Linked DNA regions of Oryzias latipes. The protein of the gene in region 1 purifies or fractionates together with the protein of each later gene. This does not show direct contact. Links are inferred from orthologs where the notes say so. Each region holds a gene or a part of one and is shown on either strand. Other genes may lie near its edges.

The links.
Region 2: the proteins of prkar2b (region 1) and akap1 purify together in Homo sapiens (affinity purification with mass spectrometry; 3 studies listed by BioGRID and IntAct, counting the BioPlex papers as one, with this or other methods). This does not show direct contact. The link is inferred for Oryzias latipes from reciprocal best matches to the Homo sapiens genes PRKAR2B and AKAP1.
Region 3: the proteins of prkar2b (region 1) and akap9 purify together in Homo sapiens (affinity purification with mass spectrometry; 3 studies listed by BioGRID and IntAct, counting the BioPlex papers as one, with this or other methods). This does not show direct contact. The link is inferred for Oryzias latipes from reciprocal best matches to the Homo sapiens genes PRKAR2B and AKAP9.
Region 4: the proteins of prkar2b (region 1) and cAMP-dependent protein kinase catalytic subunit beta purify together in Homo sapiens (affinity purification with mass spectrometry; 7 studies listed by BioGRID and IntAct, counting the BioPlex papers as one, with this or other methods). This does not show direct contact. The link is inferred for Oryzias latipes from reciprocal best matches to the Homo sapiens genes PRKAR2B and PRKACB.

Annotation. Positions count from the first base shown.
Region 1 is NC_019864.2:13,969,485-13,973,974, forward strand, and holds part of prkar2b (cAMP-dependent protein kinase type II-beta regulatory subunit), read left to right. Parts: intron 1-65; coding exon 66-149; intron 150-413; coding exon 414-520; intron 521-619; coding exon 620-773; intron 774-1,862; coding exon 1,863-1,964; intron 1,965-2,046; coding exon 2,047-2,121; intron 2,122-2,216; coding exon 2,217-2,285; intron 2,286-2,369; coding exon 2,370-2,508; intron 2,509-4,490. UniProt on the Homo sapiens protein: Regulatory subunit of the cAMP-dependent protein kinases involved in cAMP signaling in cells. Type II regulatory chains mediate membrane association by binding to anchoring proteins, including the MAP2 kinase.
Region 2 is NC_019871.2:30,772,698-30,777,187, forward strand, and holds part of akap1 (A-kinase anchor protein 1, mitochondrial), read left to right. Parts: intron 1-360; 5' UTR 361-379; coding exon 380-1,787; intron 1,788-2,362; coding exon 2,363-2,487; intron 2,488-2,559; coding exon 2,560-2,686; intron 2,687-2,753; coding exon 2,754-2,881; intron 2,882-2,960; coding exon 2,961-3,138; intron 3,139-3,213; coding exon 3,214-3,364; intron 3,365-4,223; coding exon 4,224-4,291; intron 4,292-4,490.
Region 3 is NC_019869.2:358,221-363,503, forward strand, and holds the start of akap9 (A-kinase anchor protein 9), read left to right. Parts: upstream 1-2,150; 5' UTR 2,151-2,331; coding exon 2,332-2,379; intron 2,380-5,283. UniProt on the Homo sapiens protein: Scaffolding protein that assembles several protein kinases and phosphatases on the centrosome and Golgi apparatus. Required to maintain the integrity of the Golgi apparatus. Required for microtubule nucleation at the cis-side of the Golgi apparatus.
Region 4 is NC_019875.2:26,776,064-26,781,078, reverse strand, and holds the start of cAMP-dependent protein kinase catalytic subunit beta, read left to right. Parts: upstream 1-1,799; 5' UTR 1,800-2,043; coding exon 2,044-2,089; intron 2,090-5,015. UniProt on the Homo sapiens protein: Mediates cAMP-dependent signaling triggered by receptor binding to GPCRs.

The DNA.
Region 1 (4,490 bases):
ATCTTTGCTGTGTTCTCCTTCACCTTCTTGAGAACAACGACAAGAATTTGATTTCTTTGCTGAAGGTCACCTACCCCAAAACTGACGAACAGAGACAGAGACTACAGGAGGCATGCAGGGACATTCTTTTGTTCAAGAATTTGGATCCTGTGAGTAGATTATTCCATGAGCACAGATATAGGAGTTTCTGTCCTATAAAAAAAAACACTAAAAAAGTGTATTTTTAGTGTTATTTATTATCTGTTTGCTGTTTTAAATAGAGCTATGGTAACAAGGTAAATTCCCCTTTGTGGAATGAATAGAAATGTATTCTATTCTATTCTATTCTATTCTGCATGCCAAAACAACAGCGTGGATTCAAATTTGTTTCATCACCACAACCTAAAATGTTTGATATTTTATTCATCTTTCAGGAAGAAATATCTCAAGTGCTGGATGCCATGTTTGAGAAGTTCTGCACAGAAGGAGAGCACATCATTGATCAGGATGATGATGGGGACAACTTCTACGTTATTGAAAGGTGCCTTCAGAGCTTTTTTCTTTTCTCCTCACTGCATGTTGTAAATGACTTCTCTTCCTCTTCATGCTGGTTGTTTATCTTCTGCTTGTGTTTGTCCAGTGGGACATTTAACATTTTCGTGAAGGTGGATGGCATTGAGAAGTTGGTGGGCTGCTATGACAACAGAGGCAGTTTTGGAGAACTAGCGCTGATGTACAACACCCCCAGAGCAGCCACAATCATTGCCACCTCGCCTGGAGCCCTTTGGTGCCTGGTGAGTAAACCATCACTTCCTCTTGCAAGAGCACAGCTGGCTCCTTACTTAGTTTTTCTAGCACGCTGTGCAGTCAGTTGGTACAATTTAAATAGCTTGTTTGTAGCAGCGTGACTCCCTGGTAACCCTGAGAAAAGATCTTGTTTTACCGCTTAAACACACAGGATACGGGATAGGCAGAAATAACAGCATTTACATGCACTCCAGATATGATTTTAGGAACGCTTGCAATCATGAAAAAGTAGCAAATGTAACAAAGGTTTTATTTCTGTTATAACTGAGAATGTTTGAGCAAATTTCAAGCATGTTGTGTTTGATTTTAGGATCTTTTTAGCATCAAAGTGTCATTTCTTTAACCAGCATTGAATTGCTTTGGATGCCACCACAATTGTGTGAGGATGCAGTTGCAACTTGACCCCTTAAAGCGACGTGACTTGTTCGTTTCTGACTCAGTCCCTGAAATGAGTCATGATTGAGGGTCGTTCCCTTAAATAAGGGAACTCTGATCTACCTGCATGGAGCAGGTGGTGTGCCGCTGTGTCCCCCGCTGACCTGAGCTCTTGAAGAATGCCGCTGAGTGTGCGGTCAGCGGTCAGTTTTGGACGGAGGCTTTTCTGCCACACAACATCTGAGCAAGCAGTAATTTGTAGTGGTTAATCAGAGCCACTTAGGCCCAAGTGACTCAGTCAGGTATGGAGATTTTAGCAGCTTGATGCTCCCTGCAGCAGCTACAAATCCTCCAGAGGGGCGTCACCCACTCTGTTACATGGAAGTTGCTGAAGTGACATGCAACAGCGAGGGTCTTGCATTATTTAAAGCAACACAAAAAGTGCATTTTTTCTATATCTGGAGCTGCTTTACATTCCATGAGTTTATATGAATTATTGTTTGTTACAAAGAGCTGGAGCATACATACAAAAAAAGTCACACAGTGATGTCTGTCTCTGTGGATTCTGGGTTTTTACCTTTGATATTTTTATTTATAGATAGTTACAAAGAACAAAAGACATAGATTTAAATAGTTATGGTTAAAAGATATATTAAAATGTGAGTGTTTTTCATGACTTACACTGTTTTTTATTCATTCAGGATCGTCTGACATTCAGGAGAATCATAGTGAAGAACAACGCCAAGAAGAGGAGGCTTTATGAGGCATTCATCGAAACACTACCACTTCTGACATCTTTAGAGGTCAAGACAGTCCTTGATCTAGAGTTACCAAAGCCCACTATGCATTTAGACTGAACGCAGTGTAATGTTCTTCTGCCCGCAGACATCAGAGAGAATGAAGGTGGTAGATGTCCTCTCCACCAGGGTGTACAACGATTCACAGCAAATTATTGCTCAGGTGAGGCATATTTCCCTTATTTACTAATATTTTGTTTTCTTTTGTGTCTTGATACTGGGTTTGGTTCTCTTCACAAGAATTTGCCTTCCTTCCAGGGTGACTTGGCAGACTGCTTCTACATAGTTGAGAGTGGCCAAGTTAGAATCACAATGAAGAGAAGCCGGGTATGCAGTTGTTCCTGTAATACAGTATATAGATCTATGATGGTGTAGGATTTCCTTATTGTCTTTATTTTTCTTTCCCATCAGATGACAAAAAAGGATCAGGAGGAGGAAGAGGTGGAAATTGCGACCTGCACGAGGGGCCAGTATTTTGGGGAGCTGGCTCTGGTCACAAACAAGCCAAGAGCCGCATCTGCCTATGCTGTGGGGAGTGTCAAATGCCTGGGTACATTTGTGCAGTTGCCTTATTTATGTTGTTGGTGTCCGCCAAGCGAAAATGCTGTGTCTAGTCATTCTTCAGTCAGCTTCTTTTGATTTAGGTTGAACTCGCAAAGGGAGTTGTGTTATGAGAAAACCTCAGCGATGCCCATAGCTAAAGTAGTCTATTTATGCAAGTATACTTAGTCTATACTATATATAAATGAGGCATAATATATTAAGTTTACTTTTTATATACTATCTATTTATTGTAAACTTAGAATGTTCCAATTTAGTCTGAAGAAGTATTCAGTAAGTATACTTCCTACACTACACAAACATCATGTATAGTAGACTTCCTATAGTAATACTTGTACTCAAGTTTACTTATTAAAATAAAACTCAAGCGTACTACTTTTTGCTAAGGGTAAGTTTTAGCTCCAGGATTGTTTTTTTTTTGTGTAAGGACATAGTTCTGTTTCTTTGACAAACACATCTGAGTGAATGACAGCTTCACTTCTGTCATTCGTTGTTCAAAACAGATAAGGACAAGAAAATAATGCATAAAAAAAGCAAAAATGTACATATAGGGGTTTCACTTCCCCATGACTAACTAATAAAGAACTGCAGTTCTTTATTAATTCAATTCAATTCAATTCAATTTTATTTGTATAGCCCAAAATCACAACAACAGTCGTCTCGATGGGCTTCGAAGTAAAACATGAAATCAAAAGGATCACGAATACAAAGAGTTCAATAGAAAAATACTAAAATGAACTAACAAACTGACTAAGCTATACTGGCATCCCTGCCCTTAGACCCCCCTTCGCGGTAAGGAAAAACTCCCAAAAAAACCGGATTCCGGAAAAAACGAAGAAACCTCAGGGGTGCCCACATGAAGGAGGGATCCTCCCCCAGGACGGACAGGCGATTTACCAGAAATCTTAGAGAAGAATTAACTTATCTAAATCTACAACTACATATATAAAAGTCCAGCAGACGAGCTTCATCCAGCCGTGGTTATCGGGACAGTCAAAGGCGCGAGTCGAGCCGGAGACAGGAACCACAGCCAGGTGTAGGAGCAGGAGCAGAGACGAGGTACTCGGTCAGGTACAGAGCAGAGACGAGCCAGAGATGAGCCAGAGGCAGGATCCACAGCCAGGTGTAGGAGCAGGAGCAGAGACGAGGTACTCGGTCAGGTACAGAGCAGAGACGAGCCAGAGATGAGCCAGAGGCAGGATCCACAGCCAGGTGTAGGAGCAGGAGCAAAGGCGAGGTAAACGGTCAGGAACTGGAGCACGGATGAGCCAACTGGAGTCTGGAAGCACTCCCACTCCCCAGGAGGGGAGAGGAAAAGAGGGACAATACATGAATCGCACTGTACCAAACAGAGGCATGGAGAACTAAATGATGAATAATGATCAAGAATAGAGGAGAGGAAGGGTAGAAGTAAAAAAAGGAAAGAGGACAGAACCCCAGTGCACCATAGTTACCCCAGCTTCAACTTCTAGCAGCCTTTTAAAAGAAATAGTTATTATTAAGTTTAATTTAAACAAACTAACATTAAGTTAAATAATCTCTGAATACTAACTAGTCTGACAATAAGCCTGTCCAAAGAGGAATGTTTTCAGTCTAGCTTTGAATGTAGAAACTGAGTCGGCCTCTCTTATATGAGCTGGGAGTTTATTCCATAAGACAGGGGCTTGGTGGCTAAACGCTCTACCTCCAACCGTACTTTTACCAATTCTAGGAACCACAAGCAGTCCTGCATTTTGCGAGCGAAGTGTTCTGATTGGTTGGTAAGGGACTATGAGGTCCTTAATATAGGACGGGGCCATTCCATGTAAGGCCTTATAGGTTAACAGGAGGATCTTGAACTTAATTCTAGAATCAACTGGGAGCCAATGGAGCGAAACTAACACAGGAGTGATGTGATCTCTTCTGCTGGTTCCAGCTAACAATCTAGCAGCTGCGTTCTGAACAAGCTGGAGACTTCTTAAGGAACTCTTA
Region 2 (4,490 bases), on another chromosome or scaffold:
AGTTGAGAAAAAAAAGCGTATTTGTAACGTAGAAAATACGGTGGGCGGGGCCATAGTCTACCTTCTCTGTGGCTTCCCCCATTCTGATCATCCACCTGCAGACCAATAGATCCATGAACGTCTTTGTTTTTCTAGTCTGAGCTGGAATTTGGATCAGAACTGATAGATCTCCATTTACTGCAGCACTGCCAATGTTAGCTTGATTGTCTGTTAGCTACGTGATTGTCCTCTGCGTGGTTGTCGTCAGCTTGGTTGTGATTGTCGTGGTGGTCGTCTGCGTGGTTGTCTGCATGATCGTCGTCTGCATGGCGGTCGTTTGTGTCTTTGCTCTCCTGATGGGGGGGTCTCTCTGTCTTTCAGCTGTCGGACTACCGAGGAAATGCCTCTGAGGTTTCGCTCTGTGGTTCCCTACACGCTGCCTGGGGTCCTGGTTCTGATCGGCTGGTGGTGGTTCACCTCCCGGAAGAAAGAGCGGCTGGTCGGCCAGGGCGCGTCAGAGGCCCCTCCCACCCCTGTGAGCCTTAAAGCATGTCAGGCTGAAGGCAGCAATGGTTTGGTTGAAAAAGGCACTGTGCACTGCCCACAGGAAGCAGACTGCCCCACCCTCAGACCTGCAGGGGTCAATGACTTGAGCTCACAGCATGAGGGGGGCTCCCAGGACTCTAAAACAGCACCTTCACTGGACCTAGGTTGTGAAGATGCTTCGCCGCCCCCCTGCAGAACAGGCCTGGGGGAGTTTGAGGCCCCAGACTCTCCTCTGGCTTCTCATGAAGATCAGGAGTTCTCAGAGCGACTGTTGAAGGAGCACACGGAGCCAGAGGGGGGCTCCCTGTTTGCTTCGTTGGAGAGACGTCCAGATGAAGACTCAGGAGTCGCTTCAGGAGCCTCCGGGGGGGCCTACCTGCCCCCCCAGGCTTGTGATGTCAGCATCTCGTGCACAGCGGCGCCTCTGACTGACGCGGAGCGACCAGAGCCAGAGGGTGAAGTTGCGAAGCATCAGGGTTTTGTCCATTCGCAACACGAGTTCATCTGCCCGCACACCCCCCCCAAAGGCTCCGGGGGCACCCCGTCAGAGGCTGACCCTCTGGAGACGCCCCCCCCATCTGTGCAGAATTTACATCAACACATCCTGACCAGCACGCCCACGTGCCCCACCTTTTCAGCAGAAAACGCCCTCCAGGGAGGCGCGGAGGAGCTGGAGCTCCTGGCAGCTGGACTTATAACCGAGGTCATCTCTGCAGCCACTCAGGAGGTCCTCGGGGTCTCCAGCTGCAGGGAGCCGGACCGCGGCCGGACCGGCGAGGAGCCACGCCTACAGGAGGAGGAGGCGGGGGTGTCACTTCACTGTCAAGTCCTGACGAGCTCGTCGCCAGGAGGCGTAGCAGAGGAGCAGCTCCACAATGGCTGCTCCTCAACAGCAGGATGGGGCGCTGGTGGGGCCAGTATTCCTCGGACAGATGAGGTCCGTAGCGACGGCTGGTCTTCACCCTCCCACCAAGCCCCTCCCCCTTTAAACACCAAAGAGAAAGGCGGAGAGGGAGTGGCGCTGGCGGAGGACTCCGCCTGCAGCACATGCCACTCTGAGGACGGCGTCAGCAGCGAGGAGTTGCAGAGCAGCGCCTTCGACAGACCGGCCGAGGCCGTCCAGGTGAGCCACCTGTCAGAGGACGGCGGCTCGTCCCAGCCTGACAGCAGCACCGAGGACAGCGCCATCAAGAGGCTGAATGGGCTCGGCCTCAAAAACGGAGCACACATCACCTGTGAGGCAGACACGGACCAGTCCGGAGGTGAGGGGAGGGCTCGGCCCTGCTGTGGCTGGGGGCTGATGGGTAATTTTAAGTCATGTTGGGGAGAGCAACAGAGGATCCATAGGGCAGGTGTAGCGCAGGTGGTGCATGGGGTAGCAGAGGCTAAACTACCCCAGAGGTAGTAACCAAATAGGTTACAGCAGCATGACCCAGGCTCACCTGTGCTGACCCGGGTCAGGGTTAAACCCCAAAAGAAGGGATGGGGTATGCAGTCTGAGAGAAGACATAGAAGGGTGGGGTCCAGGAGAAAAGGGAGATTTCAAACGATTTGCAGAGTCGGCAATGAAGAGACAGACATTTGATCTGAAACGTCCCTTCAGAACTTCCGTTTGAGCCCAGTTCTGCCTGGATTCCTAATAGCAGACTGCGTTTGTGGCTCTGGAACTGCTGCCCTGACAGTTGCCGTGGTGATGATCACGTTTGTCTCACCTGTCCTCCTGTAACTTCCCACTCATGAGACCAGCAGAACTAGAGCTTAAGAGTTGAAGTTTCAAACAAACTCAGGATGGGATCTGAAGGACAGCCTGCATGTTCTCCTGCGTCTCTGTGTCCAGGTTCTGACGTCAACAGCATGGACTCTGTGGACAGCGGCTGCACCATGGGGGCTGCAGAGGGCCAGGCGAGCGGCGCCGCCTCCTCCAGCTCAGGACTCGTCATCTGGGAGATCGAAGTGCCAAATGTGAGTAGAACCTCCGGGCGTTAAAGGCTGCAGACGGAGCGGCGTCCTGACCTCGCCAACTTTCTCTTCCAGCGTTTTGTGGGGCGGCTGATCGGAAAGCAGGGGAGATACGTAAGCTACCTGAAGCAGAGCTCTGGTGCAAAGATCTACATCTCCACCCTGCCGTACACACAAGACTTCCAGATCTGTCACATTGAGGGTGAGGCAGTGTTACAGGGACACACCTGGACTCCCCATGAGCCTCTGACCCCTTCACTTCTCTCCAGGTGAGCAGCAGCAGGTGGACAAAGCCCTCTCACTTATCGGCAAAAAGTTCAAAGACCTGGACCTGACCAACTTGTACGCGCCCCCTCCACCACCGCTCACGCTGCCCTCGCTCCCCATGACGTCCTGGGTAAGGACGAGCTCTGCGCTGGCAGTCTGGGACGCTGAAGAGGGATGTTGAGGCCTGTCCTGTGTGCTCGTCTCTACAGCTGCTTCTGCCCAGCGGCGTGACGGTGGAGGTGATCGTGGTCAACATCGTGTCAGCGGGCCACATCTTTGTCCAGCAGCACACCCACCCCACCTACCACGCCCTGAGGAGCCTGGACCAGCAGATGTTTCTGTGCTACTCGCAGCCCGGCACGCCGGCGCTGCCGTCCCCTGCTGAAGGTGGGTTCCTGTCCCAGCATCCGGACCTCCTCTAGTGTGCCTGTGGCAGCTCACCTGCTCTCCTCTCTCCTGCAGTCGGTGTCATCTGTGCAGCTCCTGCAGGCGAAGGAGCCTGGTGGAGAGCTCAGGTCATCACCTTCTACAAGGAGACCAACGAGGTGGAGATCAGATACGTGGACTACGGAGGCTACGACCGAGTCAAGATCGATGCTCTACGGCAGATCAGGCGAGTGCCACCGGGCCGTTTGTGGGCGGTCCTCTGCTCTCTAGCATCTGGTCTGGACCTTGATGGAGTCAGCAGGTTCAGGTTCATCTAGTGACAGACTGCAGGTGAAGCGGTCAGTTCCCCGGCCTTTGTCAGGCCAGGAGGCTGGTCCGTTCACACTTGGACTTGAGGTCCAGCTGCCCCGACTCAACTTTAAGACGTGGTCAGCAGGATGCATGAGCACCTTTATGGACATAAACAGAGTGTGCTACTGTGGGTGTATGTGTGTAATCCTTAAATGTCCTTTAAAAAAGGCAAACATGAGGTAAAGGTAAAATCCTAAATTATGGTAAATGATTCTGTTCTGTTTCCCAAAACAGCCATATATACAGGCTGTAGGAATCCCACTCCGTTCACCTTTAATCCATCTCAAAGCGTATAGTGCTCTTTAGTTATGGTTATGCCGTTTTTAGCCATAATAAACGTTTTCTTGGACTTAGTTTCTGCAGAGCAGTATGAGTTCATTAGATATTCCTCTGGGTTTGCACAGAGCGACCCCGCCCCCTTCAGTTTTGTGAGAGCATGTTTTCTACTACAAGGCTTTTTCATCAACCATCGGAAGAGATGGTCAGAAAAGCACTTTTAGGATGAATTTTCTTTATCAATGAGAAAAATGCCAACGTTAGGTTATGGGACTGGGTCTTCAGCTGTCCTCTACAGAGCAGCACGGATGGCGTTTTGGGACAGAACTGTGCATTACGTTCCCCTTTTGTTCTTCCATCATTCAGTGTGTCATTGCTTCTTGTGATTGTGTGCAGGTGAAGTCCAAAAGAGTCTGACCCTCATTAACCTCTACCTCTGTGGTGTTTCTTATCTTTAGATCCGACTTTGTGACTCTACCATTTCAAGGTGCAGAGGTGCTGCTGGACAACATCGCCCCTCTCCCAGGTACCTTGCTGGTCACTTTAACTTTTTTCTTCAGTCAAATCTCTGAATTGGAGTCGGGACGTTCATATTCGATCCTTTTTCAAAGAAGTGGTGGCATTTTCTTTGGCTGCCTCAGCCTCGCCGTCTGCTGGTGGTTTTCCCAGCAGGCAGCTTGTTTTCTCGTGGAACCACCAGCTGTGTAACGTTTGTGATCTTCTCC
Region 3 (5,283 bases), on another chromosome or scaffold:
GGACACCCACAAGCCTGGCCGCCCCCCCTGTACCCACCCATGTATGGTGGTGTGGGTGAACTGTGTGTGTGCTGCAGGTAAAATAGGAGGTCTCCAGTGTGGGGGGGCCCCACCGCTGCCAAGCCGCACAGCCCCCCACTCCGGGGTCCCTCTGTGTGTGGTGTGTATTTGCTGTGTGTGTGCTGCTAGCATGCAGTGTGTGTGTCTCAGGTGGAAGTTAAACTTGTGGGGGGGGGGCAGTGAAAGATGAGCACGGATGTTTCCCCGTGCCCCCCTCCTCCAGACCCTCCCCATAAGGTCCTAGATGAATCAGGGTGTCTAATATGCAAGTAAAAGCGGGATGGAGGGTGGGCGCCGACGCGACCCCAGAGAGAGATGCCCCCAGTGAGCCCCGCCAGCATACCCCACCCATCCAGTTCCCGGAGCCCTATGTGCCTGTGTGAGAGACAGCCAGCAGGGAAGGGGCCCGGTGCCAAAACGGAGGGGCAGGAGGTCCAGCCCCACCATTCATGCCCTGACCTCCCTAAGGACTAGCACCCCCCCCCCCCCCCCCAGGGCGCCCCCTAGAGAGGAGGTTTCTGGATGCAGAGAAGGAAGACATGAAGGTAGCTGCTGGTAGAGGATGCAGGGGACAGACGGAGGAAGCTGATTGGCTGTGGAGAAAGGAAAAGGAGAAGACTAACACAAGCTTTTCTTCACCATAGTTGAAGGTTTGGATGTCTGCTGTTACCGTGTTTTGGACTAATGTGTCTGATTCTTCTCGTAGTAATGTTCTACGATTGTTTTCTTTGAAAACTGTCAAACAGTTGTGTGAATTGAGGTTGTAGATCTTGACTGAATCCTTAAACTGTTGTGTTTTCAACATTAAAGAGGCGGCCCGTCTTGATCCACACCTGCTCACAAAGCTGCTCAGGTAACTGGAGACCCAGCCTGCTCCCTGAAGAAATGAATAATTCAGAAACTGACCAAACTTCAGAGAGTTTTAGTTACTCGCGGACAGCTGCTGCTCTCGGGTCAGAGCCAGTCGGTAAAAATGTCCAAAAGGAGAGTAGAGTTTAGGATCTGCCAGACTATAAGCTGCTCAGTTCCGGTCAGCCGGAGACCCAGAGCGCCGTCACCGACGGGTGCTGCAGGTACGTTCCCAATTCAGGAGGAACAAATGTTTGGAGCTGAGGTTTTCAGTGAAGGGCACTTTGACAGCATTTATGGTGACAAAGAAGTTATTCTGGAGGAAGTTTTAATAGTTTATGATTTGTCATCTGATCATCCAGAATGGTCTATGAATAAACGTAAAATAGTTTTTTGTTTGCCTGATCACAAAAGAGGAACATTTCTATCAAACTATTTATTCTTTTCACATTTCCCATGACTTTCATGGCCTTTTACCTGTCCACCAGATTCATGCTAGCTTTGAATTTGACCTCTGCTTCTGTCCAGCTGAGTTAGCGAAAATGTTGACTTTAACATAAAATTTCACAGATCTGTTTGTTAAAAAATAAACACATTTATTCCTGATGTAATTTGCAGAGTCTTATAAGATTTTAATACAAATAGATATTTGATAAAACACATAAAAAGGACAACTGTAATCTGATCAAAAGAAATAAATGAACTCAAAAGTGAACAGCTTCATAGATAATAAAGCAAATGTTTCTTGGTGTTATATTTAAGCCAACTCTTTTGTTAGTTTGTTTATTTATTGATTGTTTATTGATTGGGACAGCGTACAAATACATTACGCTTAAAAAGCATGGATGCTTGCACCAGAATGCAGCTTAATAGCTCATTTTTTTATTGCACTTTAAACAAAAACTAAGAAGTTGGAGGAGAAAAATCTCAGGTACAGAATTAAGAATAAAATTTAATCCTGGCAAACATGAACTGAGCGTCTTCCTGATGTTTGACTTTTTAAAATACAAATTTCGCATTGAGAAAAAAATACACTAAATTCACGTTTTCTGTAAAATGCTTAGGTTTAAAATTTCCAATATAACAACAACTATAATAAACAGTTTGTAAATAAGTCATAAAAGTAAAGAAAGACCGACAGAAAAACCATTTTTCTGACAGAAAGTCTTTTTTCTGACGCTCCGTGAAGTGTCCGCCAGTGAAGTAGCAGTGGGCGTGGCTAAAGTCCACCTACCAGACGTCACCGTCGCCGTCTCATGTTTACGTGGAAAACATGGCGGCGGGCTGCCAACAAGCAGAGCGAGTTCGCGCTGCCCGTCTGTGAGGGCGGGCTGCGAGCTCGCGGAGCGCCGTTCGGGTCTCGTTCATGTGGGTTTGGTCTGAAGCGGGTTCTCTCTGGTTCTAGCCGCCGGGGCCGCGAGCATGGAGGACGAGGAGCGGCAGAAGAAGCTGGAGGCGGGCAAAGCCAAGGTACGAGGGGCTGGAAGCGCCGACTCCGAGTCGCGCGGAGAACTTTCTGACTCGGGACCACAGTCACTTGTTTCCTTGTGGCTCGCGCTGTCAGCTGTCGGGACGGGGGGGTCCCGCGTGCCCCCCGCTCAGCTGTCACGCGCTCCCCTGTCTGACAGCCGGGTGTTAGCATGGCCAGGGCTAGCTGCTGGAGCCTTTGTCATCCAGACGCTCCGCGGTTCTTCTACTGTTTTTATTGGTTTGTCGTTTGTATCACGGTCACCTGCCAGGTGGAGGTGAGCGCGCGCAGGTTCACCAAAAACGTCTGAAAACAGGGAGCTGATAGACTCTTTCTGACGGGAACTACAGGCTGGTGGAACAGGATTAGCAGGACGAGCTAATGAGGAGCTGCTGCTCCACCGGTGTTCTACTGACAGAACCACAGGAACCCTGTTAGCAGTAGCGGTTTTAGGCACGGGCCATACGGGCGATCGCCCGGGGCGGAAAAATGACGGAGGGGCGGCGTCAGCGGCTCAGCTCTTGTAAAATACTTTATGCACCACTATTGGTTTACTTATATCACAGAGTTTGTAACAGCCTGAAACCTGGCTGCGCCCCCGCCCCGCAGCTGCGCTCCCTCCTGTCTTTGAGAAGTAGACGCAAATGTGTGTGGGAAGGAGAAGGGAGGGGGCGCGGGGTGAAGAAGGAGAAGGGAGGGGGCGCGGGGTGAAGGGTGCAGCCTGAGAGGTGAGCACGGAGCGCAAAACGCATGCGCAAACCTGGCTGGATCTTCTTCCAGGGGGGCAACGGTCGCGGGCCGCGGCTCAGTGCTTGATGAAAAAATAAAAATTGCGCCGCCATGTAGCGAATTGGCGCCCCTGGGTGCAGCTGCACGCGCTCCTGCTGGAAATGTTTGACGAACGGGGGGCTGCGGGTATAAAAAAATCATGCTTTTTTGGTTATTTTTGTATGAAATGCCCAAATACAAAATGGGAAAACAAAAACAATTCTTCACTTAGATGACAGTTGGTTTAGTCGACAGACTTGATACCTATGTCAGGACATTTATGCTAAATGCAAAAGCATCTGAAATATGGAGAAAAAAGGTCAAAGCTGGTGCCCAATTAGGAAAGAAAAGAGAAGAAGAGGAGAAAAGAGACAAAGAAAAGGGTAATATAGCATAGCTAGATGCACGTTTTTTAAATTCGAATGCTATCTGCCCTACAACAACAACGTTGCAGATGAAAAATCTCTTGTTTGGTCTATCATGAGCAAAACTGAAGGAGGCCCAAATATTGCAAATAACGTCATTTTTAAGATATTTATTCTTAAATGTTTGCTCTGCCTTAACTTGTAACATTAGTTATGATTCGTGTGTCTGTCTGCTGTAACACAAAGTTTTTGTTGTGTTTCATTGTTGTATATTAGTTCATAATGTTAAATAAGCTGTGATGGTAGCATGCTGCTGCTGCTGCTGCTGCTGCTGCTGCTGCTGCTGCTGCTGCTGCTGCTGCTGCTGCTGCTGCTGCTGCTGCTGCTGCTGCTGCTGCTGCTGCTGCTGCTGCTGTTGTTAGCTTTTCAAAACTCCAGTTGATCAAGTCATACCTGAGATCACCAATGTCTCAGGAGCAACTCACTAACCTGCTGTTGTTAGTATCAATCATTCAGGGGGGGAGCAGATTTCATATGATGACGTTATTGACAAGCTTGCATCAGGAAGGCCACAAAGGTTAGGTTTTAGTTAGTGTTTTCTGTTCTTAGTGCTGCAGTTACATTTATTCTAGTGTATTATTAGTGTGATTTGTAGTTTATATTTATTTCAGATTATTTGTGTTTGATTAAATATTTCCTAACTGTATTTTCAGTTACAATAAATGGACAAAGTGGCTCGATTGGGGGGGGGGGGGGGGGGGGGGGGGGGCGCCAGAGGAGGGTCTCGCCCGGGGAGTAATTCAGGGTAGAACCGCCACTGCCTGTTAGAACCCAGTGAGAACACCTGGAGGATCCTCACTTCTAGTGCCATGATGGTTCTAATTCAAGTCACTATAATTTTATTTGTATAGCCCAAAATCACAACAACAGTCGTCTCGATGGGCTTCGATGTGAAACATGAACTCAAAAGGATCACGAATACAAAGAGTTCAATAGGAAAATACTAAAATGAACTAACAAACTGACTAAGCTATACTGGCATCCCTGCCCTTAGACCCCCCTTCGCGGTAAGGAAAAACTCCCAAAAAAACGGATTCCGGAAAAAACGAAGAAACCTCAGGGGTGCCCACATGAAGGAGGGATCCTCCCCCAGGACGGACAGGCAATTTACCAGAACTCTTAGAGAAGAATTAACTTATCTAAATCTACAACTACACATATAAAGTCCAGCAGACGAGCTTCATCCAGCCGTGGTTGGGGGGACAGTCAGGGGGCGAGTCGAGCCGGAGACAGGAACCACAGCCAGGTGTAGGAGCAGGAGCAAAGGCGAGGTAAACGGTCAGGTACAGGAGCACGGATGAGCAAACTGGAGTCTGGAAGCACTCCCACTCCCCAGGAGGGAAAAGTGGGACAATACATGAATCACTGCACCAAACAGAGGCATGGAGAACTAAATGATGAATAATGATCAAGAATAGAGGAGAGGAAGGGTAGAAGTAGATGAGAAAAGAGGACAGAACCCCAGTGCACCATAGTTACCCCAGCTTCAACTTCTAGCAGCCTTTTAAAAGAAATAGTTATTATTAAGTTTAATTTAAACAAATTAACATTAAGTTAAATAATCTCTGAATACTAACTAGTCTGACAATAAGCCTGTCCACAGAGGAATGTTTTCAGTCTAACTTTGAATGTAGAAACTGAGTCGGCCTCTCTTCCATGAGCTGGGAGTTTATTCCATAAGACAGGGGCTTGGTGGCTAAACGCTCTACCTCC
Region 4 (5,015 bases), on another chromosome or scaffold:
GCTTTTTTTTTAAGGGAAAAAGATAAAAAAGTATTCAAACTGGGGAGTCAGAGGGGATATTTATATAAAGATAAGTTTAAGGTTAACTGTGTTAAAAGCAGCAGTGTAAAAACAATAAACAGAATAGATTGTTGACATGTCCCTGAAGTAGGTTTCTTTATTTATTTGGGACCCTAGAATAGACGGAAGTTATACATTTTAAAAAACAACTTCCTTTAGATTTCTTGTCAGAATAATACTTTTTTTTTTTACTTAAATGGGCCTTTACGAATTAATTTGAATAAAATAAAGTTGGAAATACGTTAAGGTTGTCATTTGCTTTGATAAATGCTTTTATTTTCTCCTTCTAAACATGCATTTTGCGATGATTTAAAGACCTTTTACCAAATAAAAGGGGTTTTTTTTGTTTGTTTTTTTTCGAACTTTATTGAATGTAACAATTCAATACAAAACAATGTTAAACAGCAACAACGAAAGAACAAGCCAGGGGGTTATTGTTTCATTTTACGCAGATATATTGGAACTGACACACAGACCAAATGTTTTGATGGCTTTCTAATTGTCAGAGTTTCTTATTGTGTTAATGTATTGTTTGAACTCATTGATAAAGTTTGAGAAATGAGGGGTATGATTCGTAACTTTTGATTTATGAATGTGCCATTTGCATAAAAACAACAAAAGGTTAATGATGTACAATTGTTCTTTTTTATGAGATGGACAGTGGGTGAGGCCAAACATAACATTTTCTAAGTACAGGCGAAAGTCACGGTCAATGTGGGCGGAAATGAAATGACAAACTTTAGACCAGAGAGTGGTGGAAAAGAGACATGACCAAAATAAATGTACAACATCTTCAGGGTGTTCTTGACAGAAAGAGCAGGCAACATCAATATTTTCTTTGAACCTTTGCAGATATAGTTTGGATGGATAGAATTTTTGGATCAGTTTGAATGAGATTTCTTTCACTTTATTGGTTAAAAAGTATTTCGCTTTCCAGATCTTTTTCCATTCTAAATGACAAACTAAATTATTCCAAAAAGAAACTACGTAGGGAATGGAAACAACATCCTTCTGGAAGAGTGAGCGTATACGGTGATTTGTGTTACGTGAAGAAGAAAAACAAATTTGGCCTATTTCTATTTTAGTTGAATCAATTGGTAATAAAGTTGGACTCTGCAATGATGAGCTTTTGAATAACATAGTAATAGATTTAAGAATTGCTGTCAAAACAATGTTAAACTCAGTTTTTGGTATTTTGATGGAATAATTGAAGCAGAATTCTTCATGTGACATCAAAGATCCGTTTGAATTAAACAGCTGATGGACCAAAAGGATGTTTTGATTAAACCATGATGGATAAAATAAAGATTTAGGTCTATATGTAATGTCTTTATTGTTCCATATGTCGTATCTATGTGGAAAACAATGGTGTTTGTAAATAAGTGACAAGGAAAGTAACATTTGTTTATGGAAGCAAGAAAGCTTAATTGGGATCTTTTGTACATTATAGTTACAGAATAAAAGAAAGTTTATGCCACCTAATTTGGAGAAAATGTAATTTGGTATGAAATTCCAGATTGAAGTTGGATTCTTAATAAAATGTCTCAAATAAAAGTAAAGCAACTGCAAAGTACGAGTCTAAAAATGCGGAAGCAAGCCCGGATTAGCATCTTGTCACCGACTCGTGGAGCCAATCCGAGCCCACCGTGAAGGCAGCTGAGGGCCGGGGAGCAGCTTAGTCACACAAACACCAGTGACCGCTAGCTCCATGCCAGCCGAGCAGGCAGCAGCCGAGTAGCAGCAGCGGAAACCGTTCACGGGGAAGGAGGAGCGGGAGAGGGCGCGCGCGGGGACCGCCGGAAGGGACTCCAGACATCACCTCCCCTCATTTCCAGTAGAAAGCGAGAGTGGTTTGTCCGTTTCACCGGAGGAAACGCCAAGACCTCCGAATCATCAAGTGGAAGGGAGGTTAGCTAGCCTGCACCGCCGTCGCCGCCGCCATCTCCTCCTCTAAGTCGGAGCGGCCGCCGTGTCTTCCACACCATGGGGAACGCCGCCACAGCCAAGAAGGGCAACGAGCTGGAGAGCGGTGAGTGTGCGCCGGGAGCGGGCCGCCGTGTTCCGCTAGCATCCACCATCAGAGACGCCGGTGACACTTTTTTTACAGCGGCGACGCGCTCGTTTGCTGGAAACCGCTGTAGAGGCGGTGAGGGCCGGCCGCTAACCCGACTTCATTCCTCCGTTATCTGCCATCTCTGCGCGAACCCGTCCCTTCTCATGGCGTGAAAAAAAATGTTGTTGTTTTTTTGCACATTATTGAAATCACAGTATTTAAAGAATTAGTAAGTTGTTGGAAACCCCGAGACTGTGTTGCTGTCTTGCATCCCGGGAGTGGGGAAGAGAGAAGCAGAGAGACGAAGTAAAAAACACGCTGCTAAAAAAAGACGCTCCCGAAAGATATGAATCTTAATGAATACCCAAAATGTTATAATTGAAAGTTTGTGTTGGCTGCTAGTCGGTAACGAAATCTGGAGAGGAGCTAGCTTGCTAACTTTAGCTTTGAAGGGGGGGGATTAGCCCTCATAAGGCCCCTCGTTCCCCCTTGGAAGCTATTTAGGGCCGAGACCGTTAGCCCCGGCGTGCGGTCATTTCCTGTGTCCGGCCTGAGGCCGTTTGGTTGGCCGTGTTTACATTGAAGGCATCATCACCTTCGCGTTGTGTCATCCCGGGCTTCTGTCTCTGCCTGACAGCAGGGGGATGTGGCTTTCGCTGTGCCTTTTGGCTGCGGGCTCACCGCCACCATCATCATCATCATCATCAGCACAGAGCCAGCTGTTGAACAGAAATTTGGATCTCGAATCTCCAGTAAAACTTAACTTTAAATGAAGCCCAAGAGCCGTGACTAATTGGAGTAAACGGGCGTTGCGGTTCACTTTGAAGTCGGTGAGCAACTGCCCCCCCCCCCCCCCCCCCCTCTGGCTTCAGTGCCACGTTTTATTCTTAGGCGCATAAACAAAACATTCCCTCTGTACAGCGCCATGACCAAATATGGTGAAGAAATGACAAATCCCTTCTTTCCATTCATAAAACGGGGGCTTACTACTGCCTTTGTGGCAGATGTGTGCACACGCTTAAGAAGAAGAAAAACAAAAACCCAACACCATCGAACCCCCCCCCCACTTGTGTTTGTGTTGAAGCTCTTCTCTAATCTTGCCGTGGTGAAGGTCCATCAGGGCTCACTTCTCACACTCGGCTTGTCATTGACTGGAGCAGCTTGTCATCGGACCTTCGTCAGAGGATAAGGGGGTATTACAAGCTTTGAAAGGTTTGACGTAACTGGACCTGGGCCAGTGTTACTTTACGCTCATATAGTCTGATGTGTGCAGCTGATCATCATTGAACACCACAGTAGTAAATCAGAACTGTTTCCTCATACCTGGTCGTAAACCGTGAAAGTTGTTGAGATTTATTGTGTTTTCTGATGACCACAAACGTACGAATACGATGGAAAGCACCTCTTCTTTTTCACAGATTTTTTTCTTCTTCTTCATATTTTTGATAAAAGATCAAGGTTTTGCTGTGACTCTGCTTAAAATGCTTGAACCAAGAATCCAACCAGCAGCCTCTCCGGAGACAGAGATGATCAGATTAGTGATGGAATCGGGACTCTTTTTCTTTTAAACGCACCTGTGATCCCCGTATCTTGTGCGGCGGCTAACTGTTAAACCTGTTTTAAGATGACACGGTGCCCTGACTGGCAGATTTGTTTCTAGCGTAGCTGCTCCCGACAAACAACCAGGTAACCTACAGCGCCTGGTGTTTACTGTACACTAAGGTCAGTGGCTGCAACAGTTAGATCATCAGCGCAGTCACGGATGGACAGCAAGGTTTAACTTGTGCCGCCATGACACCGATGGCCTTTCACAGTACCCGTGTTTCTGTGTTTTTCTGGTTTGACAGGAAAAGTAAACAAAACTCATTAAACAATTTACTTTTTCTTTTAACCCAGAAGAACCCAGACCCACTTTTCCTTAAAAATAAAAGACCAAGCGGACCACTGAACATATTTTTTGGTGTGTTTTTCTGTTACACTGATGTCACCCCCCGGTTCCTATAGATGAAATATGTTTATTTGCTTTTAAAAAATGTCAGCAATATTTTAAACTACCTATGGATTTTAAATTGTGACGTGAGAATCACGTTCCCTCATTCCTGTCACTTGAATTGGTCAAAAGCTTGACACATATTAAGAAGTGCTGTTTCCTGTCAGAGAGTAGATAATCGTCTACGTTCATGTTTATCGTTTTTAAAATCTGCACAGTGGTCCCTCGCTATATATCGCGGTTCATTTTTCGTGGTCTCGCTGTTTTTTTTCCAGCTTTTTAGTGCAATTTTGCATTCTTTTTCTTTTTACAGCACATTGTATCCTGATTGGCTGTAGACGATTATCAATCAATCTCTGTGATGTTTCTTCTATACAGAATGCGTTCAGCTTGCAAGATTTGCAAAAATCTCCAATCTCTAGCAGATCTTTAGTTTCTTTCTTTAATACTGGATTCATTTTTCTACAATGGGGGTTTATAGCCTTAAAACATCTAGAATTATAGCTAAAAAATAAAGTTGACTACTTTGTGGATTTGACCTCTCGTGGGTGTTTTTAGAGCATAACTCCTGCGATAAACGAGGGATGACTGTTTTCAATGTTTTACATATTTTATTTATCCTCATTTCATTTTTTTCATTGCAACATTGCATGTGTTGTTGGTAAAAGAGTGGACGAAAACGTTTTACAGGTCTGACAGGATGTGTGGTTTTACATATGTGTTTTGCAGAATTTATCTCTTCAATCTGATCTGATATGCATGTCTTAGGTTTCTGTAACAAGACACGCCAGTTTTTCAACTTCCACACTTTATCTTTTTAAATTCCTGCTAGAAACCTTCTGCTGGTTCTCGCCCGTGTTGTCAGATGCTTCATGCTTGTTGTGGTGATGTATTTCCTGCACATGAACTCTT